Linked DNA regions of Rhinolophus ferrumequinum. The protein of the gene in region 4 interacts with the protein of the main gene of each other region in a pairwise test. Links are inferred from orthologs where the notes say so. Each region holds a gene or a part of one and is shown on either strand. Other genes may lie near its edges.

The links.
Region 1: the proteins of SSX2IP (region 4) and FAM161A interact in binary tests that used the Homo sapiens proteins (3 or more experiments, as listed by UniProt). The two-hybrid records come from large-scale screens. The link is inferred for Rhinolophus ferrumequinum from reciprocal best matches to the Homo sapiens genes SSX2IP and FAM161A.
Region 2: the proteins of SSX2IP (region 4) and SHFL interact in binary tests that used the Homo sapiens proteins (3 or more experiments, as listed by UniProt). The two-hybrid records come from large-scale screens. The link is inferred for Rhinolophus ferrumequinum from reciprocal best matches to the Homo sapiens genes SSX2IP and SHFL.
Region 3: the proteins of SSX2IP (region 4) and CCNH interact in binary tests that used the Homo sapiens proteins (3 or more experiments, as listed by UniProt). The link is inferred for Rhinolophus ferrumequinum from reciprocal best matches to the Homo sapiens genes SSX2IP and CCNH.

What each region holds. Positions count from the first base shown.
Region 1 is NC_046296.1:27,369,424-27,377,694, forward strand, and holds the start of FAM161A (protein FAM161A), read left to right. Parts: upstream 1-5,015; 5' UTR 5,016-5,332; coding exon 5,333-5,518; intron 5,519-8,271. UniProt on the Homo sapiens protein: Involved in ciliogenesis.
Region 2 is NC_046301.1:40,068,729-40,076,477, forward strand, and holds the start of SHFL (shiftless antiviral inhibitor of ribosomal frameshifting protein), read right to left. Parts: upstream 3,336-7,749; 5' UTR 3,031-3,335; coding exon 3,010-3,030; intron 2,559-3,009; coding exon 2,435-2,558; intron 2,252-2,434; coding exon 2,202-2,251; intron 784-2,201; coding exon 745-783; intron 575-744; coding exon 425-574; intron 1-424.
Region 3 is NC_046290.1:56,803,822-56,811,253, reverse strand, and holds the start of CCNH (cyclin-H), read left to right. Parts: upstream 1-4,168; 5' UTR 4,169-4,308; coding exon 4,309-4,425; intron 4,426-4,712; exon of another isoform or gene 4,713-4,886; intron 4,887-7,069; coding exon 7,070-7,192; intron 7,193-7,432. UniProt on the Homo sapiens protein: Regulates CDK7, the catalytic subunit of the CDK-activating kinase (CAK) enzymatic complex. CAK activates the cyclin-associated kinases CDK1, CDK2, CDK4 and CDK6 by threonine phosphorylation.
Region 4 is NC_046292.1:63,569,001-63,577,227, forward strand, and holds the start of SSX2IP (afadin- and alpha-actinin-binding protein), read right to left. Parts: upstream 3,069-8,227; 5' UTR 3,050-3,068; intron 2,634-3,049; exon of another isoform or gene 2,480-2,633; intron 2,463-2,479; exon of another isoform or gene 2,271-2,462; intron 1-2,270. UniProt on the Homo sapiens protein: Belongs to an adhesion system, which plays a role in the organization of homotypic, interneuronal and heterotypic cell-cell adherens junctions (AJs).

The DNA.
Region 1 (8,271 bases), on a different chromosome or scaffold from region 4:
TCAAGTTTTGTGCATCAAAAGACATCAGTAAAAAGCAACCCACAGAAAGAGGAAATATTTCCAAGTCCCATATCTTATAAGGGGTTAAAATCCAGAATATATAAAGGACTAAAACCCAACAATTAAAAAACTCAATTCAAAAATGGGCAAAGCACTTGAAGAGACACTTCTCCAAAGCAGAAATACAACTAATAAGCACATGAAAAGATGCTTGACATTGCTAAAAGGGAAATACAAATCAAAACTACATTGAAATCACCTCACCCAGTAGGATGGCCACTGCCTAAAAAAACAAGTATTGTCGAGAATATAAAGAAAGTGGATCCCTTGTACACTGTCAGGAATGTAAAATGGTACAGTTGCTGTTGAAAACAGTATGGCAGTTCCTCAAAAAATTAAAAATAATTACCAAATCCAGTAATTCCACTTCTGGGTATGTACCCAAAAGAATTGAAAGCAGGGTGTCAGACATACTGTACACCCATGTTTGTAGTAGCATTGGTCACAATAGCTAAAACATGGAAGCAACCAAAGTGTCCACTGATGGATGAATGGATAAGCAAAATGTATGTATGTATATATATACAGTTGAATATTCAGCCTTAAAAAGGAAGGAAATTTTGACATGCTACAACATGGATGAACCTTGAGGACATTATGCTGAGTGAAATAAGCCAGTCACAAAAAGACATACTGTATGATTCCACTTACATGAGAAAGTCAAAAATCATAGAAATAGAATGATGGTTGCACGGGCTGGAAGAAGGGGAGAATGGATAGTTATTGTTTCAAGGATATGGAATTTCAGTTTTACAAGATGAGAAGTTCTGGAGATGGACAGTGGTAGTGGTTGCACAACAATGAATATTTGATACCACTGAACTGTATATTTAAAAATGGTTAAGACAGATTTTATGTGTACTTTATCACAAAAGAAACAAATTAGAAAAAAGTTATTGGTCATGCAAAGAAGCAGGAAACTATGACCAATAATAGAGAAAACCAAGAGAAACAAACCTAAAAATGACAAATGAATTATCAGACCTTAAAACAGCTTTTATAAATCTTCCATAAGTGCTCAAGGATGTAAAAGAAAATATGAACATGATGAGAGAAGTGGAAGATATAAAAGAGACCCAAATGAAATATCTAAAAATGAAAATTTCATTATCATTTAGAAAAGTACTCTGAGTAGGATTCATATCAGGTTAGACATTACCAAAGAAAAAGACAGCAAACTTGAAGAGAGGACCTTAGAAACTATCCAAAATAAAGCACAAAAAGAAATGGGATTGGTTTTGTGAATTGATTTTGTATCCAAAAACCTTGTTAAACTCTATTACTCTAATAATTTACCTCTATTTTTTGGGGAGATCTACACAAGCAATCTGTGAACATTTGAGAGTTTTTTCTCCCTCTCCAATCCTTATACCTTCCCCCCGCCCCTTTCCTTTCTTTCTGGCTAGCACCTAGAGTACAATGCAGAATAGAAATGACCAGTGAGTGTGGTGGTCAACCTCCCAGGTAGCACCAAATAATTCCTGCCTCCTTGTATCACACTCTTAGTAGTCCCTGTCCCACATTGTACCAGGATTTGGTGACAGCATATGATCAATAGCATAAAGCAGAAGTGACAGTATGTGACTTTAAAGATTAAATTATAAAACACTGCCTTCTGTCTTGGACACTCTGGCTTTCCCTCTCTCCTGAATCATTTGCTCTAAGAGGAACAAGCTGCTACGGTGTGAGAAGATCTATGGAGAGGACTTTGGCCAATAGTTACCTAGGAACTGAGTGAGGTCTGTCAACAACCACATGTTGACTAACGAAGCTCATTAGCTTGGAAGTGGATTCTCCATTCTCAGTTGAGCCTTGAGAAGATCATAGCCCTAACCAATGGCTTGACTCAACCTTGTGAGATACCCTGATCCTGAACAATTCAACTAAACTCCCCTAAATTTCTGACTCTCAGAAACTATGTGGAGTAATGTGTATTGTTTTAGGGTAGTACATTACATAGCAGTAGATAACTAATATAGTGGGCATCTTCGTTTTGCCCATTTTTTTACTGTTAAGATGTTTGCTATTTTGTTTAAATTTTATTTTTGTTTATTGTTAGATGTCCTTTATCAGGTTAAGGAAATTTCCTTTTATTCCTAGTTAAGTTTTTGTTTTAATCATGTATGAATGTCAATTTTTATCAAATACATTTTCTGTATTTGTTGAGATAATTCTATGATTTTTCTGCTTATATTAGTCTTTTTCAAAGAATGAATTTTAGCTTCATTTTGCTCTATTGGAGGAGTGGGGGAGATGCTTCCCCACTGCTCACACTACAAACCAGCAAACAAAGGCTTGGGAAGAAGGGCTCAAATCTTCTTTATTGCACATTTCTTTAATTTCTTCCATTTATCTAATTTCTGTGCTTATTTCCTTCTACTTTCTTTGAGTATGTCTGTACTTCCTCCCCCCCCCTCTTTCTTTTTTTTTTTTTTTGTTATTAGGTTGGATTATTCTCCCCCACCTCTTCGCTTTCTAAAGTATCAGACTATATCTTGGCCTGAAGACTTTCCTACTCCCTTTTTCTTTCACAGAAATTTCCCCCAATAAATCTCTTACACTTCTCCTTCAACAACCCAAAGGACCATCAACTGGTGAATGGATAAACTTAAGAAAGTGATAAAAACAATGTAAATACTGCATATTAAGAGTATGCCTGTCTGTAACTGTCACATTATGAGCAGGACCAAAAAAAAAAAAGGAAAATTTTTCCAGTGTTGGAAAACTATTCTCTCTTTCAGCAAAGAATACTACTCAGCAATTAAAAAGGAACAGACTACTCATGGATATATTCAACATGGATGAATCTTACAAAAAACAAACAAACAGTATGCTGAGCAAAAGAAGCTGGGAGCAAAAAGAATACATATTGTATGGTTCCATTTATATGAAGTCCTAGAACAGTCAAGGGGATGGAATGGGGAATAGATGGCAAAAGGGCATAAAGGATCTTTCTGGGATAATAGAAATGTTTGTATTTTAAGGGTATGATTTCATGAGTGTATGCATTTGTCAAATTTTATCCAACTATACATTTAAGATCTACTCATACTCATTTCACTGTGTTACATCTCAATACAAAAGTGCAAAAACAAGTTGGTTAGAGTGCAGGGCTCATAACACCAAGGTCAGCGGTTTAATTCCCACATGGGCCAGTGAGCTGCGCCCTCCCCAACTAGATTGAAAACAACAACTTGACTTGCAGCTGATAGGTCCTGGAAAAACACTGTTCCCCAATATTCCCCAATAAAAATGAAAACAAAAAAGTGCAAAAACAATTCTTCTTATGATGATTTAAGATGTCATTTTCTTCTTGTAGTTCTGTCCTGTAGGGACAGCTAGGAGTGCAATTCCCAGGCTTTCGGCCTTACGTGGAAAGGTGCTGGCTCAGGTAGTAAATGGCCATCAACTGTGATTGGATGGCCATCAGCTGTGGCTAGTTGGCTGTTAGCTGTACCCAGTGAACCACTGGCCACTAATATAACTGCTGTGCCTACACTAGCAGCAAATGGGGGATAGCAAGAAGACAGTGGCAGAGCTAGTAAGCACGGATTGCAGTTAGCAAGGGGGGGTTGGTTGGTTAGCAGAGAAGTGGACGGAAGGTTGCAGATCGTGTGGATCCTGTTTCCTGTGTCTCCAACCCAGCTGCCAGCGAGAATATAGTGGTATGACTCCACTATCTATGGCTCCTTTTTGGCCTCACCATATCCTGCATTCTTATGTGGCGAGCGGTACCAGGGACCCCACATGCCACCTTGCATGACATGTCCACTTCTGCTTTATATGCTTTGAAGCTATGTTATTAGGTATATATAAATTTAGAATATTGCTGGTGAATGGAAACTTATGAGCTCTTCTACATACATACACAACATGTTCTATTCTATTCCTATCTAATCCTATTCTTGCCTATCCTTGCCTAGTCTTTTGTAGTGCTTCAACATGTAGACACATCTTGCTGTTTTGGGGTCGGGCTTATACCAAATCCCAAGACAGGCACATGCAGCCACAGAACCAGCTGCATGTGAATGACTGGAAGTCCCCACTATGGTCACTTGGGGCATCCATACCTCATGTGCTTTCAACTCTGGCTTCTGCTCCGAATTGAGCCAGTATTTGTTCAGTGTGAGAAGCACACTTCAGCTCAAACCAAGGGCAGCTTAAGGAGGTGGGGGAGTGGGGGGGATTTTGCAGGTGCTCACACACCAGACCTGTGAACAAGAAAGGCTTGGTAAGAAGGGCTCAGATCTCAGAGTTGAGTTCTAGACAGCACATGCTGCACACTAACTTTATGGTGGTGATGGTCCATGGCCGGTTATGGAGCTGGAGGCAGGAGGAGGCTGGAGAACAGAGAGGGAAAGTTACAACAGCCTCAGCCTCAGGAAGTGGGGGCTTAGGTAGCAGGTGGCTGAGGCTGCACCATGTCTGCTATTTTCAGGCTAGGCCTCTCTTAACAGCCACGTGGCTTAGAAGGGAGGTGCCGTTTGAAGCGCCCAAATCTCCAGTGGGAAATGTTAATGGGATGAGATGGAGATGTGGTGTGTCTCTGGTTACTGTTGGGAGCTCGCGACCTCCACCACCACTATAAAGTTATTTAAACCAAGCAGCGAACACCTACATTGTCACTCACTGGTGGGTGGGCTAGGCCCCACCCAACTCTGGGCTTTTATTGGTCAGACCAAGAAAAATCGCGTACCTCGCAGCCTTCTTTGGATTGGTCGATTTCTGGTAGCTCTCAAGTCAATCAAAGTAAAATACCGCACTCTTTTCCATTCTCTGACTCCATGTTAGGGAAGCCATGTTAGGTAGCAGGATGCAAACCTTGCCACTGTTCTGAGACCCCACACAATAATATCCCCTGCTTTCCTCTAACGCCGCCGTCTTCTTTTAACATGTTAGTTCAATGAATGAAAAGGCGCTGTTTTCTTTATTTACAAAACGAGTTGTTTTATTAGTATAATGTGAGAAGTCTGCGTTTAGGCGGTGAGGCGCGAAGCTGGGGAAGCGATGCCCTGTTCTGCCTGCCAACCCTCCAATAAACCAGCAGAGACTCAGTTCTAACTCCCATCATCCAGGAAGCGCCCGCCTTGAAACTCCTGCAGCGTGCGAGGATTTTCAGTAACTTTTGGCCCCTCGCGGCCCTTGTAGCGTCCCTAGTTACCGTGCCCCTAGTAACCGCCCACTCCAAGCAGGGAGTCGCCAGGTAGCTAGAGGCCGCGCCAGCTTCCCAGCCCCGGCTCGGCGCGGGCGCTCAGGCCTCGGCGGCGAGCTGATGGCCGCCTCGCACCCAGCGGCGGAGCTGGAGTCTTCCAGTCTCCAAACCCCGGTAAATCCCAACACCTGGGTGCGGGTGGCCCAGTACCAACGCGAAGACCCGTTAGAGGCTCTGGCGGCAGCGGCCTTGGAGGAGGAGAAACAGGAAGAGCGGGAGGAGGCGGTGCGGCCGGCGCGGGCGCTGGTAATGTAGGGGCGGGACGTGGGCTAGGGTTGGGCGCTGGCTGGGTGCAGGCCGGTCGACCTCCCCGCTGGGCTGAGCGACGTGCTGGGAAACGCGGCGCCCTGCCCAGATCCTCCCTATCCGGTTATCCTGGCACAGCACCTTCTTTCTGGCCCCATGAAAACCCCTCAAAACCGGGCGAGGCGTTGAAAAGTCTTCTAATTTTCACCAAAGAGACTGTTGTAAAAATTTCTTAGCGTTTACTTCACTCTGTTTAGACTAGAGTGCAAAGTACAGAACCTTAGTCCTTATTCTCCAGCATCTATCAGAAGTAGATATTCCCTTTAATTTTTGACTCGGGGAAGACTGATCTACCCCCATAGAGGATAATCTATAAAACTCAGGCGAATCAACTGTACTGTCAGAAGTGTGTTTTGTTGTCACCTTAAGATCTTGGTTATTAGTGCATCTTAACTCGATACATAAGAGGCGATATTTAAAACCATCAAATGTTCAGTGGATACATCAGACACAGATATAGTAGTTAAGCATCCAGAGAAGCAAATTACTGAAGACCCAGTATTTCCTAAATGCCTTTTCAGGTTGGCTTGAGACAGCCTTTTCACTGATACTTTTCAGTGTCATGTGTGTCCTGAACACCTGTCCACCAGGTAGAGGGCCAAGACTGCCATCTGTGCTATTCCCTTAAAATATAGAAACATTGAATTTTAACTATCTACCTGCAGCTATAAATCTCCAGTTAAAGATTCTTAATACTATTTGCCCAAGCCTCTCAGATACAAAACATTATGGTCTACAGGGCTAATAGAAATCAGTAGATATTTTGGAATTCTAATCTCTTTAAACTATACTAAAACCGTTAATCAGAAAATCTGTAGCAACACCTTTTATGGTCAGCATTTCACCAACAGATGTAAATTATTAGAGGTTATCCAGAGTAAGGCTTATTCAGACCCTGAACATGAACCAGAGTGAGTCTAAGGGCCAGTTTCATTCATGATAAAGTTTTCCTTCAACACAACTTTAGTAGCCAAGAAAGGAGACAAAGTGATGGAGGAAAAAAATTTGAATGGAGTATTTGGAGTCCTGATTATATGACCCATTCTCTGCTATTTGCTAGATGACATTAAGATGTAATTTCCTTCAATCTCTGTTTCTGTATCTGTAAAAGAACTATAATAATTGTCTCTCTTTCTTGCCTCACTGGGATATTATGAGAACCAAATGAGAGAATGTGTGTCGTATCTAAATAACAGTTTGTATAAATTAGTAATAATAATAACTACTGCCAGTGAGACTGTCATTTGAACAACCTGCCCAAAGATTAAATTCTATTTTGGATTGCTGTGGTAGAGGAGTCAGTTATTTCTATAGTTGCAGTATACTTCCATAATGCCTTATCAAACTGCAAATTTGTATTAGAAACTTAATTACTTTCAGAGAGATTAGTTTCAAAGGGACAGAATCCTACACCTCCCTCCCCCCAAAAAAGGAAGTTAAGTCTTATCAATTTGACACTGTTTGTGACCACTACACTTGAAGGACCCAAAAGCAAACCTGGACAATCTGCTCCTTATTGCCTGATAACCAGAGGATACTGGGGTGGGGAAAAAAGCACTGAAAAGGCAGGAAAGAGAGTGCGGGAGCCAAGCTGGCTTGGGTCTGCACCTTGATTTTTAAAGGTTAATTTGGCTCAACTTTGTCATCTATAAAATGTAGTAAACTCAGATACCATAGCCATCACACAAGATTGATTAGAGAACCAACTGTCATAGTAGGCCTCTTCCGTTTGCCAAAGCCCCCCTACCCCTTGCAAGACTGCCCATACTGGGCACTGAGGCATGTTCCTTGAACCTAGCCTCAGCTGGAGATATCAGTTCATAGGCTTTGTTACATGGTTGATGATGACACAGGTATAGCAGTTAAAATTTCCACAGTTAAAATTTCACTGAGTTTCCTAATGGGGTCTCTCTCTCTCTCTTTTTCAAAATCAAATATTGAGCATTTATTAAAATTAAATATTGAGCTAGTCACTGACTCTTCAGTGGTGAATGAAGCAAACATAGCTCTCATCATTGCAGAGCTTCCAGTCTGGTGGGGAGGCTACATAATAAAGAAAAATGAACAATGAACATAAGATGGGAAATTTTGGAAAAGAAATTAACAGGTTACTATGATTTTTAAAAGAAGTAGGAGGGAACCTATTTAAATGAGTTAACATTTAGGTCAATGTCTGATAAATGAAAAAAAGTAGCCATTTGAAGAGTAGGGGTGGGAAAAACATTCCAGGCAGAGGGAACAGCATATGCAGAGGCCGTGAGATAGGAAAAGCTTTGTATGATTAAGGATCTGAAAGAAAACCAACAAGACTGGGAAAGAGTGAGGGGAAGAAAGGGAGAGGGGAAGAGAGTAGGTTGGCGAGGTCAGCAGGGCCTGCTCGTTCAGGGCCTTATTTGACCAAGTAAGGAGTTGAGTGTTTATTGTAGGTGGGTGGTCCTTGAAGACTTTTAAGAGATCTGACATATTCCTAGTTATATTTTTAAAATATGACTCTGTGGCTTTGTGGAGAATGATTGGTGGGCTTGACAAAGCAGAAGTAAGAAGATGGTTAGGAGGCTGTTGCAGTAATTCAGGTGTTATAGGTAGTGGCATGGACTTAGAGTCTACGGAAGATGGCAAAAAGTGGACAGATTTCTCTAGAATGGATAGGAATCACTGTTAAAGATTGGACGTGAAAGCAAAGGAAGACGAAG
Region 2 (7,749 bases), on a different chromosome or scaffold from region 4:
CTCTGCTAGCTCGATACTGGCCACAGTGGGAACATTTATACCACAGAAATTGGTAAACACTAGAAATCCGGGGACCCCCAAGCCCCCCTCCTCCCACCCATGAGCAGACTGTTAAAGCATTGACCAGAAGCACAAGCACACCATTGGTTAAGGGGGTTTAGATACCAGAATTGGGGTTGTGGTTTCAGGGTCAGATTTGATTGCTATGGTAGCTGTCAAACTGTGGAGTCAGAGGTCAGGTTCCGGGGTAAGGGCTGAACTCCTCAAGTTGAAGGTCAGAAGTCCAGCTCAGGGTTGGGGGTTGGGGTCTGAGATCGAGGTTGAGCTCTCAGAGGCTGATGTTCTTAGGTCAGAAGGTCAGACATTGAAGATGGGGGTTGGGAGTGGAGTTCAGGACAGAGTCAAGGTTGGACTGGGTTATCACCTCCTTCCGCTGGGGTACACGGCGCCACCAGACATGGTCACAGGAGGAGCAGGCAAACTGCCGGTCCACAGCAGGGATGAGGTCTTCCTGGGCACGTTGGAACATGCGTAGGTTGGCTTCTGTCAGAGGCAGGAGGGAGGTTGCTACTGCCTGTGAAATGAGGCGGGGTGAGCACTAGAGGGTGGTCGGCCTTCCTCCACCAACACAAACAAGTCTCAGCCCTCCTCTCCTAGCAGATGCACCCCCTCCTCCACAATGACCTCACTCTCTCCCATGGATGTCCTCCCTGTTCCACCTCCCCCATTCCCACCTGGACTCACCTGGATATCCTGGTCCTGCTTCATGTCCTCTGGTGGATCCTGGGTGGAGACACCAGGGGCAGAGGCTGGGGATTCAGCTCAGGCCTCTTTTCACCTTGTTTGTTGGCGGCCGGGCTCCTGGATGGGACCCTCCCAGCCCCATATAAGAGTAGGGTGTTCCTAACTCACAAGGAGCTGATTGGCAGCGCTCTTACTGAGACCAGGTACATGACCTCTGTTACCCTTATAACAGTCCTGAGAGGTGGGCACACCTGTTATCCCCATTACTCAGATGGGGAAACTGAGGCCCAGAGCCAGGAGAGGGCTTGCCTGAGATCAGAGCAGGCCTGGACCCCATGCTCCCTTACTGCTGGTTAAATACCACACATTTGTTGGCATTGGGATGAGTTAGTTGCCTCTTTGAGGCCATGCTGCTTTAGGCTAAGTGTTCAGTCTCTGAGTTCAGATAGATGCAGGTTCGATCCCCAACTCTCCATTACTTCTAGCTGTGGCAGTGTGGCCAAGCTACTCCCCCTGGGTCCTTAATGAAGGGCATCTCAGAGCCCAGTCTCTGACTCTGAGTGGCTCGGGTTCAAATCCCAGCTGCCACCTGCATGCTGCATAATCCTGGCCAGTGACTTCATCACTGTCTGTTTCCTCATCCATAAAACCTGGTAATAAATAATAGGACCTGTCTCATGGGGTCGCTTTGGTGATGAAATGAATCAACAGGTAAAATTCCTGGAATCCTGCAGCAAGGAAAGTGCTCAATCAATGCTAAATGCTACTCTTTATTTTTTATCATACTCTTTATAGGTATAAATGTCAATGTATAAATATAAAGAGTATGATACATACTTTATTATACTCTTTAACAACTCTATACTGGTCTTTCAGGCAGGCAAAATCCACAGTGCATCCGCCACCAAAGCCATCTAAAGGGCAAAGTGGCCATGATGTATCTGTGCTTTAAAGCATTCATTCATTCATTCATTCATTCATTCATTCATTCATTCAACAGGAGCCCCCTACCCCCTCTCTCCGGTTCCCCATCTCCTGTTCATCCCAGCCTGTCTGTATGTTCCTTTGCTCACACTATTCCCTCTTCCAAGAAGACTATTTCCGACCCCTCCATTCCCAGGGATCACTCTTTTTCAGCCTTGATCAGTTGACACCACATCCTCCAGAAAGCCTTCCCTGACCTCTAGGGCTCCTATGTGATGACTTAAATCCTGGCTAGCGTCACTAACTAGTTTCATGTCTCTCTCCCCCATTTAATACCATTAGCATGGAATGAACACCTACTGTTTGCAGGCTCCCTGGCAGGACACACAGCCCTTCTGTGAATAAGTAGATGTGGTTGGACCATGAGTTGTAGACTGGCAGTGCACTGAGTGGGGCTCACCAAGGATGGGCAGGGTTCCCTGTGTTCTCCCTCCCCAGTTACCCTGTCCTTTGAGCGTAGGGGGGCAGTTTACCTGGGCATCCAGGTCATTACTCAGTTCCTGTCCATCTTTCTGCTTTACCCCTGGTGGGGAGAGTTAAGTGTAAGTGAAGGGCCCTTGAAGGATCTTGTGGGAGTTTCAGGGTCTCCGGAGCCCCAATACAGACCATCCCCAAGAGATGATCTCAACTCCTCTTCCTACCCTCCGAACAGACCGAGCTCCCCCGCGCGGAACACCCACCAGTCCCGGGAACCCTGCCCGCTCACCGTACACGATGGAGCGGCCCACTCCGGTGTGGTCGCTGTCAAATTTCCTCATCAGAGTCCCCGCCTTCCTGTTGGAGACCTTCCCATAAAACTTCTCCCGGAGGCGCCGGACGCTCTTCTCCAGCTGGGATGGGGACAGCGAGGCTCGGAAAGGGGAAGAAGAGAGATTGCCCCTCCCTATTTCTAGGCATCCTTCTCTGGGCCTGAACTTGACCCTTGGTTTTGGCCTCCGCATCCCCCACCCCCATCCCTCCATGGTATTTCCTGGAAAAGCCAAAGTCCCCACCGGGCATTGGGGGAGGGTGCGGACTGGGGCGAGCGTCCTAGGCTCGGGAGGAGGCCGGCCAGGTAACCCCTGGCCTCTGACCCTTGACCCTGCAGCCCCTGCTTTTCGCCCAGGGGGCCGCATTTCGCTCAAGAGGAGGTGGCGGTCACTCTCCTTTCTGGGGGGGGGCAGACAAGGAGGAAGGTCTGGGCTACGGATGGAGTCCCAAGGAACTGCGAAGCCCCCTCTGCGGCCCCGGCCCTTCCCGGCGTCTCTTGAGGGCCCTGGCCCAGCCGTAGCCATCTCCTACCTCCACACCTTCTTGAGACATGGTGGCAGTCACGCAGGTCCCCGCGAGGGTCCGCACTGCGCGCTCGGAGTCCCCCTACCTGGGCGCGCCCCGCGGTCCAGCCGCGCGCAGGGCAGGGGGCGGGGCTCCGGGCCGGCTCCTCCCTTCCTTCCCGGCCCCCTCTTTCGCTTTCGATTGCAGGGAAGCGCTAGCTCCACCCTGGCTCCGCCTCTGCTCTTGTGCCCCAAACCGAGGAGGGCTCCCGGGGTCCGCACTCTGCGGCTGAGCGCGCAGACCTCCGCCAGGAGAGGCGGCGCGGCCTCTGCAGTCGGTCACATGTCCCCACGCTGCGCGGGGTCCGCGTCTTCACGTCCCTCGTGGGGGCGGGGCCGCATCGGAAGGCCGCTGCGAATCTCGGGCTCCCCCTTCGAATCTGCTACCCCCGCCGCAGCTCGCGCTCCCCTAGTTCATCGCCTTCTCTCCTCACCCAGAAATCAGGCGCTAATTAAGACCTGGGCACCTTCCTGACTCTGAGCCTCTTACCCGGCCACATCCCCTCTCTGAACCTCAGTTTACTCCTCTATAAAATGGGGGTGATAAGTGACTACATTCTGGGGGTGTGTGTACGCGTGCGCGCCAGGATTCCAGACCCCGGATAGAACGCTTAGTAGCTCTTGGCATGCAAACTAGTCGGGCCAGCTACTCGGTGCCCGTCCAAAGGGACAGGCAGTGGGGGGATGGGGGTGCTTGTTAAAAATACAGGTTCCTGGTCCGGCCGTCAGCGGTTCCAGGGAATCTGTATTGTAAATCCAAAGGTTGAGAACCCCGACGTCCACGACGATTCTAACCCACCCAGCACAGGGGGCTGGAGGGGCTCTGGCCCAGCCCGGAGATTTCAGGGATGGTTTCTTGGAGAAAGGAACGGCTCGTATAGTCCTTGGAGTTTGAGGTCTTAGCTAGATGAAGCACAGAGTGGGGAGAAGGAAGCAGCTGGTGAAAAGACCCCAGAAGCAAGAGAGTCTGACGTTTCTCAGCCTCCTCACGGCTGCCATTTCGGGCTGGGGAGTTCTTTGTGGTGGGCTCCGTGCTGTGCATTGTAGGATGTTGAGCAGCTTCCCTCCCTGTCCTCCGCCCACTGGATGCCGGTGGCACCCCACACACACCAGTTGTGACAACTGAAAATGTCTCCAGACATTGCCAGATGTCCTCTGGGGGGCAAAATTGCATTAGGATAATGACTCTAAATTGTTTTCCCAATTATGCACCTCCATCAGTCAGAATGTTGAAGCTCTACCCCCAGATGGATATTTACTTATAAATTATGTAGAAATACAGTTATACCAATGGATTCTGTAGATTATTTTATAATAATATATTATTACATATTCTTTAGCAAACAAAAAATGGAGATAAAAAATAGGTGCGCTGATGTTTTCTACTTGAACCCCAAAGCTTTGTAGGTCTAGAGACTGCTCTCTTAGCGAATGTAAACAGTTCATGGTTCTTTGTGGCTGAATGGTGGAATTTCAGACAGGGATGGGGGCCCGAAGTCTGCACAGACGACCTGGGATTTTGTCCTGAGGGAAGTGGGAAGGCCTGGGGGGCTTTCCCTTTACAGCTGCCAATTACTACTTACCCAGTGGAGGGGAAGGTCACAGCTATGTCCCATCCCCTGGCCAGGGTGGACACCGAGTGGGCAGGAAACAGGTGGGAGACTGATCCAGCTATGACAAGAATCAAGACTGCTAGATTCTTATAATAATGGCCACCATATTGAATGCTTACACTGTGCCAGGCATTGAACAAAACAAAGATCCCCAGAATGTAGAGCTGCCATTATAGTGGGGGAGACAGACAAGAAACAAATATATAATAGGACAGGAAATAATAAGTGCTAGGGTGAAATATGAACTGAGATAGGGGGATAGAGAAAGGGGGATCAGGGAAAGCAGTGGGAAGTGACATCTGAGGGGAAACCTGAAGGAGGTGGGAGAAGAGTTCCAGGCAGAATGAACAGCAAGTGCAAAGGTCCTGAGGTGGGAGCATGGGAGGACTGTTAGTAGTTGTAGTATTTCTCTATTGCTGTGTAACAAATTAGCCCCAAACTTATTATTTCATATAGTTTTTGTGGGTCAGGAATCCAGGAGTGGCTTCGCTGGGGTTTTCTGGCTCAGGGTCTATCTGTTTCTGAGGTGGCTCACTTACATGGCTGGCAGGTGGGTGTTGGCTATTTGTGAAATGCCTCAGCTCCTCCTTAGTGGAGATGTACTCCCAGCTTGGCAGCTGGCCTCCCCAGAGCAAGTGATCCAAGAGAAGGAAAGCCGGGTGGAAGTTGTATCATTTTGTGACCCAGCTTTGGAAGTCACATTGCATCACTTCTGCTGCTACCTCCTGCATGTCACTAGATCCAGCCCAGGTCAGGGACGGGGAATGAAGACTCCACCCTCTCTCTCCTCCCACTCTCCCATCTCCCGCTGGAGTCTCTCATTGGCTGCAACAGAAGGCAAGGAGGGCAAGGGAGCAGGTCTTGTTATCAGCCTCTCAGGGAATAGAGCTGGGGAGAGAAGGGTGAGAATTAATAGGGGAGGACAAACAGAAGATCAAACCGGAGTATTGAATGTTGGCATTGTACATGAACAGAAAAATAAACATTCCCAGCGATCACATGGGGCTGCTCCCTATCCACCAGCAGTTCTGTTTGAGATTTGCAGCCATCTTAGCCTGGCCAGATGTAACTTGTTTGTGCAGTGGTGTGAGCATTCCTGCATTTTATCCTTTGTCTTTATAAAAAGGTGTGGAAAGGGAGACAATGGATGTACTGATAACAGTGATAAGAAATGTAGCCTCTGACACTTTAGTATAATTGAGTCAAAGATGGAGCCCATTTGATCCATCCATTCATTAATTTGACAAACATGCATCAGGTGCCTTTTTGGCAGCAAGCATAGTGCTGGGGACCATTTCTGCCCTTCCAGAGTAATGGTTTTAATGGGAATTTTAAACTACGTATCTCATTTGATCCTCATAGCAACCTATGAAGCAGGTAGTAGTATTATAAATGGGAAAACAGTTTTTTTTCCTGACTGCAAGAATCTCCTCAAGGGGTGAGTTACTTAGGAGTTACTTAGGTGAAGAGATGCAGAGCAGAGGGAGCAGCATGTGCAAAGGCCCTGAGATAGGAAGGCGCTTGGTCCATTGAGAAAGCTAAAGGTCAGTGTGGCTGGGCTTAGTGAGAAGCAGGGAAAGTGGAAGGGGGTGAAGCTTGTGCCAAAAGCAGCAAATATATATATTTTTAATTAAACTTTATTGGGGTGACAATGGTTAGTAAAGTCACATAGGTTTCAGGTGTACAATTCTGTAATACATCATCTATATATCACATTGTGTGTTCACCACCCAGAAAAAAAAAGCAGCAAATCTTGGCTTTCAGCTGGACCCTTTGAAGCTTAAGCTGGTGACCATATGTTTAATTGTGGAGGAAGTGGACACAATTGGAGCATGTGTGTGCTTTGTGCAATCGAGTAAATTTTTCCCTCAGTTTAACCAAATGAAGAACGTTGGCAATGCCCAGAATTGGAGGTGTGGGGAAATGGGAACTCTCCAAACTGTTGGAGAGGGTGTCCCTTGGTAGAATCTTTGGAGAGGGCAATTTGGCAAAACCTTCTAAAGCATTAACAATGCTGAATTAACCATTTCTTTCATTTTGTGTATTCTGACGCTTTGACATCTGGGGCCTCGTGACCCTGGGGGCACTACTCCTCCCTGGGCACACACAAACCATTTGTGGGCATTTCTGCATGTGCATTTCCACACCACCTTTACTTCCCACATTGCTTATTTCTCTAACAATTGCATTTTTTTGGCATTGCTTTTGTAATCAGAACCAAAATATACACAGTAAAACAAATTCAATTACTTTACAAAATAATATGTATGAAACTCTGGAAATATATCTTTGACAATGACACCTAACTGGAGAGACATAATTTGGGATTTCATAATTTGTATAGTCTTCAGTGAATAGAATGTCCTTTACAACACAGAAATCTGTTGTTAGAGTTTTGCGAAATCAGTTTCAAACACATTTCCAGTAATGCATTACGTGCAAAAGTTGGGGTCCTGCTCAAATGAATTCGGTGAGTGGAGAAATCTCAGTGGCTGAAATACTCTGAGTGTGTCCAAGGCTCGCTGGGTGCCAGGCTTTCTGTGGTATGTCCTCTGGGCTTGAGGCTACAAGTCATCCCTCAGCCTTTTGGCTTAGATAACACTGTCCCGTTCTCAGATGAAGAATCTGAGTTTCAGAGAGATTAAGCAGATCATGCAGGACACCCAGCTAATAAGTGGCATAGCATAGCCTGAGCTTGAACCTAGGCCAGCTGTCCACAATGCTCCTTCAAGCCAGAACTGAGGACAAGAAGTACAGAGGTCAAGGGATGCATTTTGGAGCCAGACAGTCTGGGTTTGAGTCAGTTGCTAGCTCTTTGAGCAATTTCTTGACCTTTCTGGGCCTCAGTTTCACCATCTCTGAAATGGGAATAGAATTGTTGTGGGAGTTCCATGAGTTAATATAGATAAACCATTTAGACCTGCACTGTCTGACAGGGTAGTCACTGGCCACATATGGCATTTGAGCCCTTGAAACATCGCAGGTCCTAATCCAGATGTGCTGCCAGTGTCAGATGCACACTGGATTTGGAAGACTTATGTAAAACAACACATCAATGACTTTTTATATTCATTACATGTTGAAGTGATAATAGT
Region 3 (7,432 bases), on a different chromosome or scaffold from region 4:
TCATTGAGAGAAAACTGTATTTGTGCATGTCATAATTATTCTACTATACTCAAAGGACCCTGAGGTAGGAACTATAAAATAGCCATTTTTATGTTCCCATCACCATCACCACCACCATCTAACAATTAGTACTAAGCCTTGAGTATAGTGGTGATTTAGTAAGATATGCTGAAATGGTCACGAATTTATAGAATTCACTCCTCACTATGTTGTCAAGTCTATTTACACCTTAATTTTAAATAGTCCTAAAACAAAAGAAAAAGTGTTTCAGTTTTGGGAGGTTACATTTAGATCAAGGATATTTTTTAAATGCTGTTTCTTTTTTTCTTTTCTTTTCCTTTAGTAGTACCCTGTTTTGGAGAAACTAGATATTTTCTCCTCTTAGTCCTAACTTGGTCACTGGGAAAAAACAAACAAACTAGAAAAGGATTTTAGAGGCAAGTGTATATATCAAATAGAACTGCAAAAGTCTTGTTTTTACATATCATTGCAAAGCTATATTTAGAATGTCAGAAACCCATGTCAGTAGCTGAAGGGGTACAGTTTCATGTCAGATTTTAAAGTAAGAAAGACATTGTATTTTTGTGAGCATGGATGTGGCTTTATTCCAAAACACCATTCTATTTTCCTTGTAGCCATGAAATCAGAAACTATGTGAATATGAGTATACTGATATGTTTGGAAAATAAAGACTATAAATTAATCAGGCCACTTAAAATATTTTATTAGACTGCAAAACTATTTCAAGTTGCACATATATTTATTGGTTACTCCCTCACCCTTCTTATTCCCTTTCTACCTTTACTCCTAAAATCAGGCAGTCTTATCTTTATTTTTCTAAAACATTAAGATCACTAGGGCAGAGCCTGAAGAAGGAATATTGTCCTAAAGGAAGAGAGAAATTTATGTTTTCTACACTGGAGTAAACTTTCATTTTTTAAATTAAATTTATTAGAGTGACATTGATTAGTAAAATTTTATAGGTTTCAAGTGTACATTTCTATACTACATCATCCATATACTGCATTGTGTGGTCACCACCCAGAATCAGTTCTCCTTATATTTTACCCTCTTTACCTCATCTACCACCCCCCTTCCCCTTTATCCTCTGGGAACCACTAAACTGTTGTCAGTGTCCATGAGTTTTTGTTTCTTTGTTTGTTTGTCTTGTTAGTTTTTTGCTTTCAGTGTTATGTACCACATATGAGTGAAGTCATATGGTTCTCGACTTTTTCTGTCTGAATTATTTCACTTAACATGATAAATTCAAGAGAGAGGAATTCTTAATACTCTCATGGGAAGCTTTGGCATGGTATATGGATAAGTATAGTGCTTCTGGGGTGATCAACAGATGACCTCTGCTTTGCATCGCTTGATCTGATTGGCAACCTCTGGTTTTGACGTAATGTCTGCAATTAAAAATACTTAGTTTGTTATAAAAATACATACTGCAACACAATTTAACAACTGCAGTACACTAAAAGATTGTGTTTATTTAAAAGAAGGCACTGTAATCATGCCTATTAGTTAACATTCACTTCTGGGTAAAGCCCAATGAATTAGTACTATCTTTGTTTTCAAATTTTGAATGTTTGTACTGCTCTTCTAGGAAGTATAGATTCTGTCTATTTTGTTTTTTATTGTTTGAAACATCTCCATCTAGCAGCAGAGATTGTGATTTAAAAGTCATGGGGACGTCGGGGAGTGGAGGATAATTATTGAAATACATTTTTCTCTATTCTCAATGTTTGAATTTTTTTATAAACACGTAAGAGTGGAGAGAAACACTTGCTACTTTTTAGTTGGAACTAGAAATGGAAATAGGTAAAGGCACCATGTTCTAAGTCCAAGTTCTAAGTCTGCCTTCCGGTTGAAATAGTACAAGAAATAAACATGCTCAACAAGCTGAACAGGGGAATGTCATTCAGGCAGACTGACTGGTGCAGCATCCAGCCTGGCTCACCTTAAGAAAAAGAAATCATATATGAGTCCTAATATTAGGGCATCAGCAACAACTTTATTTTGTCCATGGTTAATTTAGGTACAATTTCTTCTACATTCCAAAAGCATGGTCAAGGTTAATTTTCATAGACTAAAATTTTTTAAAGATTTTATAAAATAGTTACACCAGAAACACCAGGTTTTTCATATTTGTCTTCCTAAATGAATTATGACATTCAGCAGTTATACTCTTATCCCTGTGGTAATCATTTTCTGCCACCTCTCCCAAATGCCCCTTTTTATTTCCCTTTACATGAAACTGAAGTAGTTGTCAAATGCCTCTCAGAAAAACAAAATAAAAAGAATTGACATGGTATATAGAATTGACAGGGGTCTAAGACTTTATTCATTTATCTAAATCATTTCCTTTCCTGCCTACCTTTCATTTTCTCCTTTTAAATTATTCTTCGTTATACAATCATTTATGGTGCTCACAATCCACTGGAGTCATAACTTGCCATGTCCCTCCTTAACATTAAGTTGATGTAAGCGAAGCCATTTTAAAATAGAGCTATTATAGCCACTCCAAGGAACTGCCTTGCATGTGTTTTCCTCAAACATTTGGAATGGGAAAAATAATCCTTGGACTGGGCAAAGCCAACATTGTATTCCAAACAGTTTGTAAAAATAACAAGTAAGCAGACATTCTGACTACAAGGACTGAAAATTAAGGGCAGTCTGTAGAATTAGCACAACCATGTATAGCTAAAAATTAGCTTACTAACATCAACAGAAATTCCTTTCTTCTATTCATGTAATTATTTCCCTTCCCTTTCTCATAAAACCCCTGCCTTCCCCCCAAAATCAGAACACTTTCTGAGTTTCTGCCTGAATCACTGCTTTCCTAATAGCTATTCTTTGATCTCAAAAAAATGCTTGTTGCCTTTCACTTTGGCTTTTTATTTCCCAGGTTAACAACCTCATATTTTTTTCTTTCTCTTTTTCTCTTTTCTCTTAGCCAATTTAACTAGTCTGAATTACTGACACATGTTCAAGGAGTGCCTGGATCTCCAGAGTTATAAACTACAAATGATGTAAGTTTGTGCAATTCAAATAACTCTGGCAAAGTCTACTTACCCTCAACTGTACTCGCCAAAATGAAACAAAAAAGAAGAAAAAGCTCTCCCTTTCTTAAGCAGCTAAAAACATTTTCACAGAAAGCAGAGTTAGAGATATCCTATCACCTATTTTTAACTGTGTGGTCTTTTGAATATCTGAACTCTTTGTGTCTCATCTTCATTACCTGATTTTTTATCTGTTGGTGTTTAGAAAAATGATTTGCTGTAGGTAAATCTATCTAACCCAATGTATGATGCATAGGAGAACGTGGTGTGCTTAAATGGGACAGATATCAAAACTAGTAAAGGCTTTTGGAATTCATGTAAATTCTGTATCTCAAATGCAATTTTGAAAGTATTAGTAACAAAAAAATTGTGAATCTTTTAAGTATTAACAGATAGTTTATTGCAAGTTTCCCTTGGGGCAATAATGAAGATGAGGATTTCAAGAAAATCCTAAAACTACCATACGTCATGGCCTCGGAGATGGAAATGGGGGAAAGGATTGGCAGAATCCAATCCAATTGAGCAGAAGAGGAAAGGAAAAGGCACAGAAAAAGATAGGGTCACATTATTGGCAGAGCAATAAAGAACAATACACATGCACTGCTTCTAGTTTTCCAACCATGTTCTGTTATCTCTGAGGCAGAGATTTTTGGTAGTGCTCCAGACACATTCTTTCTTCAAAGAGCCAGGAATACTTCTGCCTTAGGGCCTTCACTGTTCTTTTTGCCCCAGCATCACTCCCACGTGACTGATATGCCTAATCCCTCAACTCTTTCAAGTCTTTATTCCATGTCACCTTCTTAGTGTAGCCTACTCTGAATATCCTATTTAAAAAAGGTGACACCCTCCTAAGTCCTTGCCCCCTCTTCTGATTACCCCGTGTGAATTATGTTAGCCTGCACATACCCTCAATTTACATTCCTTTGGCCATCTCAGCCTGTCACTTCTCCTTTAAGCTTTGTAGGAAAGGGGCGGAGCTAGAGCCAGGGCTCGCAGAAAGGCGGAGCATATCCGTACGCTCCGGCCACTTAGGGAGCAGGCGGCGGCTAAATCAGCGCTAGAGAGGTTCTCCGCTCCGGAAACGCGATCGCCGACGAAGTCACCACGTGATTGTGACGTCAGCGCACCCGCGCCTGACGGCCTGACGCCCTGCGCTGTCGTGGTTTAGCTGCTTTACACCACGGTGTGGTGGCGTTTGGGGTCTTTTTCTCCAGACTTCCTGGGCCTGGTCTCGGACTTAAGGATGTACCACAACAGTAGCCAGAAGCGGCACTGGACTTTCGCCAGTGAGGAGCAGCTGGCACGATTGCGGGCTGACGCCAACCGCAAATTCAAATGCAAAGCGGTGGCGAACGGGAAGGTGAGGACACGGGTGGCCGCCCCGCTGCCCGGACCTCCTAACTCTTGAACAACTGCGGGATCTAGTGCCCCCGCCCCCGGGGCTCTCTGGACACCTCCCCTTCTCCTCCCTCCGGAGCGCACGTTCATTTGTTTAATAAACAGGCGAACACCTTGTCAGGTGCTGTGGGTACAGAGGCGGACAACACCATTTCCGTAGTTGAGTGGCAGGCAAATAACCAGTAATATGGCGTAGGAGACTTTGTAGGATGTCCGTGTAGTGCGGAACCAGAGCCGTTCACTTGTCAAAAGGAGACCTCCGGGAGGGCTTTTCCCAGTAGCTGATGCGAAGCAAATGGGGAAAGAACATTCCCGGAGGACGGAACCACAGGTGCAAAGTGGGAAGTTGTAGGGCGGGTTCCTGGAATGCTCTAGATCGTTTGTAGTGGTAGCAGAGCACCTGTGCAAGACAGGCTGGAAAAGGTAGGCGGGGAGCTTGTAAGCGAAAGTAAGGAATTTGAACTTGATGAAGGGATGGGGAACCTTTGAAAGATTTTAAATGGGAAATTAACTTTACAGATGCTGTTCTAGAAAGAGCCCTCTGGCATCCTGGTGGTGAATGGATTGGATGGGGCAGGGTGGGGGCGGGGAGACAAGACACCGTTTGCACAAACCAGTTGATTGAAGATGGTTTGGATTATGGCCTGCCCGCCAAGTTCTCCCTGTTACAGCTACCAACCACCTTTCCCTCACAAGCTCCAACACCCATCCTAGTAACTGCAAGCTTCCCTCCAGCAAGTATTCCATGTCTAAGATTGTTGGGACTGAGGTACTGTACTTTTAAGTCACAGCTATTTCATATCACTTTATTTTTGTGCTGCATGCCAGGCACTATTCTAAGCATTTGGCAAGTGTTAGATCTTTTAATTTTCACAGCTACTGAGGTAAAGACTGTTATTATCCTCACTTCCTAGCTGAAGAAACAGGTACAGAGAGCAATAACTAATCAAGGCTACATTGGTAGTAAGTGGCAGAGACAGGATTTGAACCCAAGGAAGGAATCTAGTTCCAGCATTCCTGCTCTAAACCGCAATGCCATATTGTCTATAAAATTAGCACCTGTGTTAGTTTCCTAGGGCTGCCATAAAAATACTACCACAAACTGTGGTGTAAAACAAGAGAAATGTATTTTTTCACAGTTCTGGAGGCTAGTGAGATCAAGGTTGGCAGGTAGTTGCTCTCTGAAGCTTGTAGGGGTGGATCCTTCCTTTCCTCATACAGCTTCTAGGAACCCCAGGTGTTCCTTTAATTGTGGCAGCATAACTCCAATCTCTACCTCCATCTTTACATAGTGTTCTTCCTGTGTTTCTGTATCTTCACATGTTCTTATACGGATACTAGTCATATTGGATTAGGAACCAACTCTACTCTAGTACATCTGATTACATCTACAGTGTGGGGACAGAGTCCCAGAGAGCAGTTTCCAGGCTCTCGGCCTCACGTGGAAAGGTGCTGGCTCGGGTTGTAGATGGCCGTCAGCTGTGACTAGTTGGCCATCAGCTGTTATCAGTTAGCCAATTAGCCACTGATATAACTGCTGTGGCTAGGTTGGTTCGTTGGTTGGCAGGCAGAAAAGTGGACGGCGGATTGTGGATTGTGTGGATCCTACTTCGTGAGTCTCGCCTGGCTGCCAGAGAGACTGGGGTGCAGGGAGTCCCTTTGTTGGGGTACTGGCGGATGTTTGCTCCCTGTGTCTCCAACCCAGCCGCCAGAGAGAATATAGTGGTATGACTCCCCTATCTATGGCTCCATGGATGTTACTTTTTGGCCTCACGTTTTTTTGTGGGGAGCAGGACCAGAGACCCTGCATGACACCCCACGTGACAGACCGTATTTCCAAATAAGGTCACATTCTGAGGTCACATACAAACATACCTCATTTTATTGAACTTGGCTTTATTGTGCTTCACAGATGTGTTTGTTTTTTTTCTTCACTAACTGAAGGCAAACCCTCCACCAGCAAAATGATCACTATTTGCTTTATTGTGGAGGTCTGGTAACTGAACCTACATTATTTCTGAGGTGTGCCTCTACTGGGGGTTTAGGACATCAATATATCCTATTTTGGTAATTGTAATTAAACTAGTAACAGCATCTAATGGATATTTTTTGTAAAGTTGTATTTATTAACCATCTAGAATGCATTCTGTAGAGAATTTACAAAGGTGGATAAGAAGTAATGTTTTCAGGGTCAGAATTATCCTTGCAATACTTGTTGATTCTTACCTCAACCTGTGTGACTTAATAACTGACTGAGAAAGAAGTCTTGAAAACTTTCCAAATATGAACCACGTATATCTTCTTTTTGATTTCTAAATAATGACATCAAACCTGTAAGCATAGGCATACATTCCATCATGATTGCTTATACCTTAATGAAGCAAATACCCAATTGACATTCTGAGAAATTGTGAAATTATGGTATAATTTTAGGTTATTAAATTTTTTCCTAAAGCCATTTTGTGTAATAATGAACAATTCTATAAAGTGGAAATGAGTTGTGGTATATTTCCCTTTGGCTGGAGATATTAATAGAAACTAATCTGGACAGAAAAATATTTTAAGATTCAATTGACTGAACTTTTGGTGTAACTTTTAATCTAAAGGTTCTTCACAATGATCCAGTCTTTCTTGAGCCTCATGAAGAAATGACACTCTGCAAATACTATGAGAAAAGATTATTGGAATTTTGTTCAGTGTTTAAACCAGCAATGCCAAGGTCTGTTGTGGTAAGTTATGGTAGTGATGGAGTATAATGTCCTTTAACTGACTTCTGAAATCTGACCTCTTCCAAGTTAGTAACTCAGTCCTCTATCCACTTTATTAAAAATGAATGTGGGGACGGAGTCCCAGACAGCAGTTTCCAGGCTCTCGGCCTCACGTGGAAAGGTGCTGGCTCGGGTAGTAAGATGGCCATCAGCTGTAATCAGATTGCCATTCGCTGTGGCTGGGTGGCCATCAGCTGTTAC
Region 4 (8,227 bases):
TCAGGGACTGGTCCGGTGGCTCAGGCAGTTGGAGCTCCATGCTCCTAATGTGGAAGGCTGCCGGTTCGATTCCCACATCTGGCCAGTGCCAGATGGCTCAGTTGGTTGGAGCGTGTCCTCTCAACCACAAGGTTGCGGGTTCGACTCCCCCAAGGGATGGTGGACTGCGCCCCCTGCAACTAACAACGGCAACTGGACCTGCGCCCTCCACAACTAAGACTGAAAGGACAACAACTTGACTTGGAAAAAGTCCTGGAAGTACACACTGTTCCCCAATAAAGTCCTGTTCCCCTCCCCCGCAAAAAAACACAAAAAAAACAAACCATAATTCAGTAAGTCTGCTGGTACTATATAGTATTGACCCACTATCAAAAGTAAAGATTTTAGGTAGTCTTCCATTATCAACAATGGTGCACTTTTCTATCTCACCCTATAAATTCGTGAATTCAAGATAACTTGTACCTTCATTACCAGCTAATCACGATCACCATCAACAGACACGAAACAGACCCACAGAGTACCAAAACCTCTCCGTGATCTGGTCCAACCTGTAAGTCATATTCACAACTACTAGTACATGATATGAGAAAACATCACTTAAAAAGCTTTGGAATTGCTCCAATTTAAGCATGTGAAATGTATTAAAATCACACAATTCTGGGGCAGTATCTTTTTATCTCTAGATGCATATTACATACAAGACACTCAAACGTCTCCTTTTATAAAACCTGTGTCATAGCCAGCTTTGTCAAAGAGCAGCTGTGTCAGATTTTTGGATGGGCCTAATCTTGTGTTGGCCTTGAGGCCTTTGGCAAATCATCTGAACAGTTAACGTTTTAGTTTTTTCTTTTAACACCTCAGCAGGTTTGGAACATATTATGCTTTGGCATATTAAGTCTTGTCACAAGGCGCAATGTGTTATGAGGAGAGCTTCACATTTCATCTTAGAATAACTAACTCCTTGCAGTTATCTTCAAGCTGCTTCACTCATGATACTTAATCCTAGGGCTTTATTATCTTCATTGTACACATGGGGAAAGAGAAGGAAAGGAAGGGTATAAAATTACTTGGCTGAAAGGACCCAGCAAGTCACTAAAAGAGCCTTCATTTTAACTATCAGTTCCTTCATCCCGTTTTCAAAGAACCATTTTGAGAAACTTTCACTGACAGCAGGCAGAATAGTGTCAAATTAGTTATTAGCTTTTACTTATTTAATATGAATGAATAACCTAAGCTTCCTAGGCCTGCAGTTTAAGTTTTGCTGACAAAATCCAAGCTCAACTTCTAAATGTCAAGATAGCTTGATCTAAACTTTAAGTCTAAAGGCATTTTTTTCTCTCTTCAGATCTCTAATTCTTTTCAAATTCTGTTCGGTCTCCTAAATGTGTTAAGTCATACCTACCTTTCCAGATCAGGATCAAGGCTGCCAGAATTTTCTTCTATTTAAAGAGTATATCAATCTCTCCTGAGTCGTGAAGGGTTCCAAGGCACCCATCATTCACAGCCATCTCTAGGCCTAGCCTCCAATCTGACCTGTTAGGGGAGCCCAGCAATGTCAAATTCCAGGAAGTCCCCTCTTACACTTGTGAACCACCCTCGGAGGAGTGCCTCTGCCAATCCTCACCCCATTATGGGGTCCAGAAAAGGGAAACCTCAATTCGCTCAGATCCAACAAGAACAGTATCAGCGTTGCAAGTAATGATAATTTGGCAATCATAACTACGGACCCTGAAGTGGGGCAATAATCTAAAGATTCCCGTATTACACATGCTGAGAACGAATTATCTAGCAGATTCCATTTCCTGGGCCCAAGTGACTTGCATAACTGGACGACCACCATAGGCTCAAAAGAGGACAGGGAGCTCGTAATTTAGTTTTCTCTACGTTACTATAAAATTCTACACCAAAATGTTCTCACACATGCCTGCCTCTTAGATGATGTAAGTTCTTCCCCTAGACGTTTTAACTACCACTGGGATTCTCTTCCACTGCAGCGGCCACGGGCCACCCAGTAACTCATTCTAACGACTGCCTCTTGCGGCTGGAGCTAACAAATCCCGAAGCCCGCACGCCCCGCAGCCTCTGCTGAGACACCGCAGCCCCAAATTGGCCATCCCCTCCACCCCCACGTCCCCGCCTCGCTCGTCATCCCACGCCAGGCGCCACCCTCTCTCCATCCTGGAGAGGGTTTGGGGCTCTAAGGGCCGGAGCCCTCCCGAGGGCAGAGCACTGCGATCACCAGCAGGAGTGGTCCCCGAACTGGCACCTACCTCCCACCTCCTCCTCCCGGCACCGCCGAGGCGAGAGGGGGTAACCGCTTGTCCGCCTCCACCAACGGCCCCAACGGCCGCGCCGAGCTAGGTGCCGGCGCTCACCTCCGCGCCTGCCTTCCCGCCCTTCCCCGGCGTCTACCACCCGCCGGCGCCGTCGCCCGTGAGGCGGGCGCGTCATAATCCCTGCCGCGGGGTCAGGCTCTCACCCGTCACGGTTCCCGGGAGAGGCGGGCAGGCACCACTAGGAGTCCAAGACCGACCGGTTCGCTCAGCCCGGAGGGCCGGCACAAGCTCGGCTGCAAGAAGCGCCCCCGGGCCGGCGGCCCCGCCTCCGCCTCCGGCTCCCGCCTTCTCCGCCCCCAGCCGGGCTCCGCTCCGCCCCGCGCGGCCTCCTCCCCGCCTCCACAGGTTCGCAAGGTTCCCACCCCGCCCCCGCGTCGCAGGCCCGGCCGCCTCCCATTGGCTCCGCCAGTTGCTAAGCGATGAACAACCGCGGCCTGCATTGGTTCGGTGGGGGCCTCGGGAGCCTCCTCCCCACCTCCACAAAAAAAAAAAAAAAAACTCGGAGAAAAAGAAAACCTTATCCCTGGAGCCCAGCAAGATGCGGGCGCAGCTGCGGCTGCGGCACCTGTTACGCCCTGTGATTCACCCGGCCCGGCTCTGCTCCCTGCCCCTCCTCACGCCTGCAGAGCTCGGGGCCTCGGACTCCGTGGGGGAAGGGCATCCTGGCTGCATTAAAGCACGTGTTCCAAGCGCCAGTGAACCCCAGCACCCACCGTAGGAGAAAAAGTGAAGCTCCCTGAAGAGTCACGTGCGCTTGCAAAAGTGGAGAAGTAAACCAAACAGCCGGCACCCAGAATTAGGTCAGGCCCAGGGAAAGCGATGTTCAAGCGTCGGGAATCGTGGATGAAACGACCCAACCGGGAGAAAGTTACACGTAAAATTAGGGCAGAGAAAACGACCTAGGCGGAAGACTAAGAAATGGCACTAATGAACAAGAAATTTATGCAAAAATATCCCACACCCGCTCACCAAATATGTGAAAAGAAAATGTACGCCTGCCGCACCGTAGCCGGGGTCAGGCCGGCTCCTCCCCGGTTCCATGTAAGCCTAAAATTCTCCTGGGAAGAGAAGAGACCGAAGAAAGGAAGATCAGATGGTGAAATCGCAAGCATATGAGTTGTTACAAACACAAAGATATACTTCGATGATTTATTTAATTTTTTTTTTTTGGTGTGTAAAGCCAAGGGATTTACTCAAGAGAAAACAGGTTTGGTGTTTTAAGGAGGCTTCTGAGAGCACTTTGAAACCAAAATACCACAATAATATGAGACAGAATAAGAAATATTAACAGTGAATAACAAGGGAGAGACTAGTGCCTTCTTCCCAATTTACACGCACACATCCCCAATCCTGGATGAAAGATCAAGGCGAGACAATGAGCACGCCATGGTGACAATTTCAGAGTCCAACGAAATTCTCCAGTTTGCCTTTGGCCTAAAGGATCAGGAGGCCGGAATGGATGCTGTTGAGACTAAATGAATGACAGCCAAATAACCGTTGGGACCCACCATTGTAAAGAGGCTATTAGCACAGGGCTGGTGGGGAGGAAAGAAAGCAATTATTACCAATGATTACATTACTTTCCAACACAGACTAATGATGGAGTGGGAGTAAGTCTTTTCCTTACTTCCTACCTTGGCCATCATCAAGTGAGCATGAAACCCCTGCTCCCTAGAGGAGTTTTGAAATTTCAATTGTCCACCTCCTAAAATCCCACACCTCTTCCCATCTTAAGAAGAAACTTAATGCACCAGTTTTTCTTTGAAATAACACCTGAAGCTTCATTTTGACCATTTCACTTCCCAGTTTAAAAGGAAGAGCTCACTCTCTGATTAGCTAGAGGAGTTGAGATCAATTTAATAAGCAGCATCTAGAATACCCTGTTGTGACCTAACCACTTACAGAGTAGGATTTTAAGACTGGTTCAGGCTGAGGTGAGCTCAGGAAATTTTGGCCCCGCCCCCAGCTCCAAGGATGAATCAGAGCTGTCTGAATAAATTATTGAGGGCCCCAAAGAGCTTTTGTTTATCCTCGTAAACAAATATCCTCATATTATCTATTGATGTTCATGATAACAGAAATTAAAACAGAAATTTAAAAATATTTGAAGAATAATAATAAATAAGAATAGTAAAAACGACATTTTAAATAGCACATTTTAATGGACACTAACAATGTTTTCCAAAAAAAAGTAAAGCATGGTATTACTTTTAAAATGTGCAAATTTCTTTAATGTCTGGCTTAATGGAAGGCAATTGGATTTTCCTATCTGGTGCATTCAGTCTGTTGCACTGTCTCAGCCTTTGGAAAACTCCGCTATACTCTCCTAAGAGAATGGGAGGAAAAAATAACATTTTAGTATTATAATAAAAATTGTTTTGACTTTGCAGACTCCCTGAGATGGTCTTGGGGATCCCCCTCCACGGTTCCTCAGATTACACTTTGAGAACCACTGGTCTACACCTGTCTTGGTAGGTGGTTTTTTCCTTTGTCAATGACTGGTTAAGGAGATGAGCAGGTGACATAATTCTGAGAACACAGTGGGAAGTGGGTGGTTGGGGGGATTTCAGGGAAAGAGTTTTATCCCTGAGAGCCCATAAGAAGTCTTTTCCATACTTCCTACCTTGGCCATCCCCCAGTGAGCATGAAACGTTTGGAGCTGTGGTGACACATCCTGAAACAATGAGAGAAAAGCAACAAACAAACAAACAAACAAACAAACAAACAAACCAGGAAAGACAACCCAGAACCCAGACGTCCCTGAATGGCTAAATTAACCTTTCTTGGCTCTGTATATCTGGACTGTTCACATGTGAGCTAGTAAATAGCCTATTGCTTGAGTCACTATGATCAGGTAATCAGTTACTTGTAGCCAAGAAGATCCTGACTGATATATAGGACAAGGTAAAGAATTTGGCTGCAGCCTGAAAATAGTCTAAGGAAACATTTAGCACAGGGCTAAAGGAATTGGGCTTGATGGTACTTCGCTATGGTATGGAAAGATAAAGGGGAAAGGATACAATCTGGAATTTTTTTTTAATGCTATACTTTGGCTTCTTTCCCCTCTTTTAGCACAATTAAGGGAATGTGACTATGAAGTGTTGTTGTTTTCTAAAACACATCAAAACTTCCACCCTTGTTCCTTTATAGTCTATTTATATCACAGTGGTCCCAGTAATTCTTTTAAAATATAATTCATATCATGTCACTTCTCTGCCCTGACTTGCCTCTTTCATTGTTAAAGCCAAAATTCTTTTTCCATGGTTAGAAGTTTCCTTCCATCTCCTCACCTCTCTGACCTCATGTTCTACAACTCTCTCCTCTACTCACCTAACCATTAGTCACCTCACTGTTCCTCAACCTTGCCAGGCACTTTCCTGCCTCAGGAACTTTGCACTGGCTATTCCCTCTGTTTTAATGTTCTTCCTCTTCACATCTATATTACTTACCAATCTGCTTTCTAGTTTAGCCTAAATCACCTTCTTTGTGAGGCCCAACCTCACAACAGTTTTAAAAATTGCAATCCCCATCCAGCTTTCCAAATCTCTTACCTTGTTTTTATATAATCTTCAACCATAATACAGAGTTTACTTTGTTTGTTTGTTAGTTAGTTTAGTCCATCTCCATTTACTAGAACGTAAACACAGCAGAGAGAGAGATTTTGTTTGCTTATTCACTGATATATCCCAGTGCCTAAAACGGTGCCTGGTACTTAACGGTTGGTGCTCAATAATTATTTGGTGAATAAATGAACATAACTTCAAGTAAGTGTTTTTCATTTCAAAGCAATCACCTTAGCAGGCTCAATACATATTTTAATGATGCTACTCAAAAGTTATCACCTCAGTAGTTACTGACTTTGTTGAAAAGAATTCTTCCTTTCAGAAGGAATCTGCTTTTTGAGACAATCCAAAAGCAGAGTCAAATGTGATGAACACATTCTGGAGCCGTGTTAAAGTGTCAAACGTGTGTTTTCCAACTAAGTGACTATATTTGGGTGGATAGGGAAAGGTCAAAAAACAAGTTATTTGATTTCCTAAGACAGACAGTAAACTGACTCTGAACATAATTTCAAAGAGTAATTATATATATATATGTGTGTGTGTGTGTATATATATATATATTTGTGTGTATGTGTGAATGAATCTCTTCCAATCTGTCTGCAGACTTCCACTCTTGCCACCACTATGTCAGAGTCTTTCAAAAATGAAAATCAGATTCTCTTCCCCAACCCACTGCAGTTAAGAACTTTTAATGGCCTCTCATTGTATTTAGCATGAAATTGAACTTCCTACAAAATTGTGCACACATGATCTGGCTCCTGTCGCCATCCTGGAACTCGCACTTGGACATGCAAAGTGCCAGCCATAGCAGCCCCCCTTTTTTTCTCTTTTTTTCCTGGAAGGCTCTTTCCACAGGGTTCAAGACTGATTCTTTTTCATCATTTGGATCCCACTTCCACATATAGAGCAAACTTCCCAGACTTGCTTTTAGTTATCTATTTGTTTGCTTGCGTATGGTCTGTCTCTTCCCAGTAGAATATAAGCCTCATGAAGGCAGGGACTTTGTTGGTGGCGCTTGCCTTTGTAGCCCCAGCCCCTCCATGCCTGCACTGGAGGGTTGTTAACCAAACTGTTACTACTGAGAATGGGTAGGAGATGGATAGGAGGAAAGGAACATTCACTTTACATTTGATTAACTTATATATTAATTTTTACAGGTATGTATGATTGTAATTTTAAAATATTTTAATTTTGTTGAAACAAATAGGCTCATACTTTAATATGTATTCAGTTAATAATCTACCCTTATTTACTCATATGAGTTGTTCAGAAACTAATGTTTCAAATACCCCAGCAAACATTCAGGCCACACAACTTCTACTAACATATATATTCAAATCTGGGTACTAATGAGCTTTTATGAATTACAGCTTTCTGTAATTCATAACATCTGGATTATTTCAATAGTAGCAACAATTTCTGGATCTAGTGGAGAACATTTCTTATTAGGGCCTGCATGCTATAACAGATGAGAAGATGGGCTGAGTCATCTCTCCTTACTGGCCCCACTTCCATTAATTCTGTGTGCTGACCAGGACTATCTTTCCAAGGGTGGCAGGGTGGGTACTGTACCAGGAATTTTCATATCCATGACCTCATTCACAAGATCAATTTAAAGCTGTTAGTAATTAACTAGAAAATAGTATAGGACAACGTCCAAAGTCTACAAGATCTCAGAGTCCCACGTGTGGGCTAAAGTCCCACGGAAAAGAAAGAACTGGAGTAGGGTCTTGAGACAATCTTCACTTTGTAAGCCTAGCAATACCAGACCACCAGCTCTGCTTCCTGATTTCTAAAGGTGGCCTTATACTTAGCTCTGCTTGGCTCCTCTATTGGAGTGAATCTCTGCATCATGCTGCATTTCCAAAGATGATTCACTTCTGGCCAGTCCCTTTGGATTTGGGCCCGTAGTAGTCCAACTTGAAATGACAGTCCTGTGCCACCTTACAAAGTGCTGGCTGAGTTTGCAGGAAAAATAGACCACTTCTGTTCCCTTTTCCTCCCACCTCCACCCAGGTGAAAATTCTCAGAAAGGAAAACTATCCTTGCTCATTACCCACCCTGCCCCACCCCACCTTGCTCTATCTCACCCCCGCAGACATAAACACGGAGAATAGCAGACAAATGCCTGGTCATCATCTAGGTATTCCATTCCTAGTGCTTCAGATTTTTGTCCGGTCTGCTGAGTGTTTTGCCTTACGATGTCTTTTGAAAGAGTTCTTTTTGAGTAAGAACACCTGATGAATTTTATCAAGCTCTAATACCTTGGTTTTCAACTCTCCATTTGTCCCCCAAATTGATTTATTAATTTTAAAACATGCCATGTAA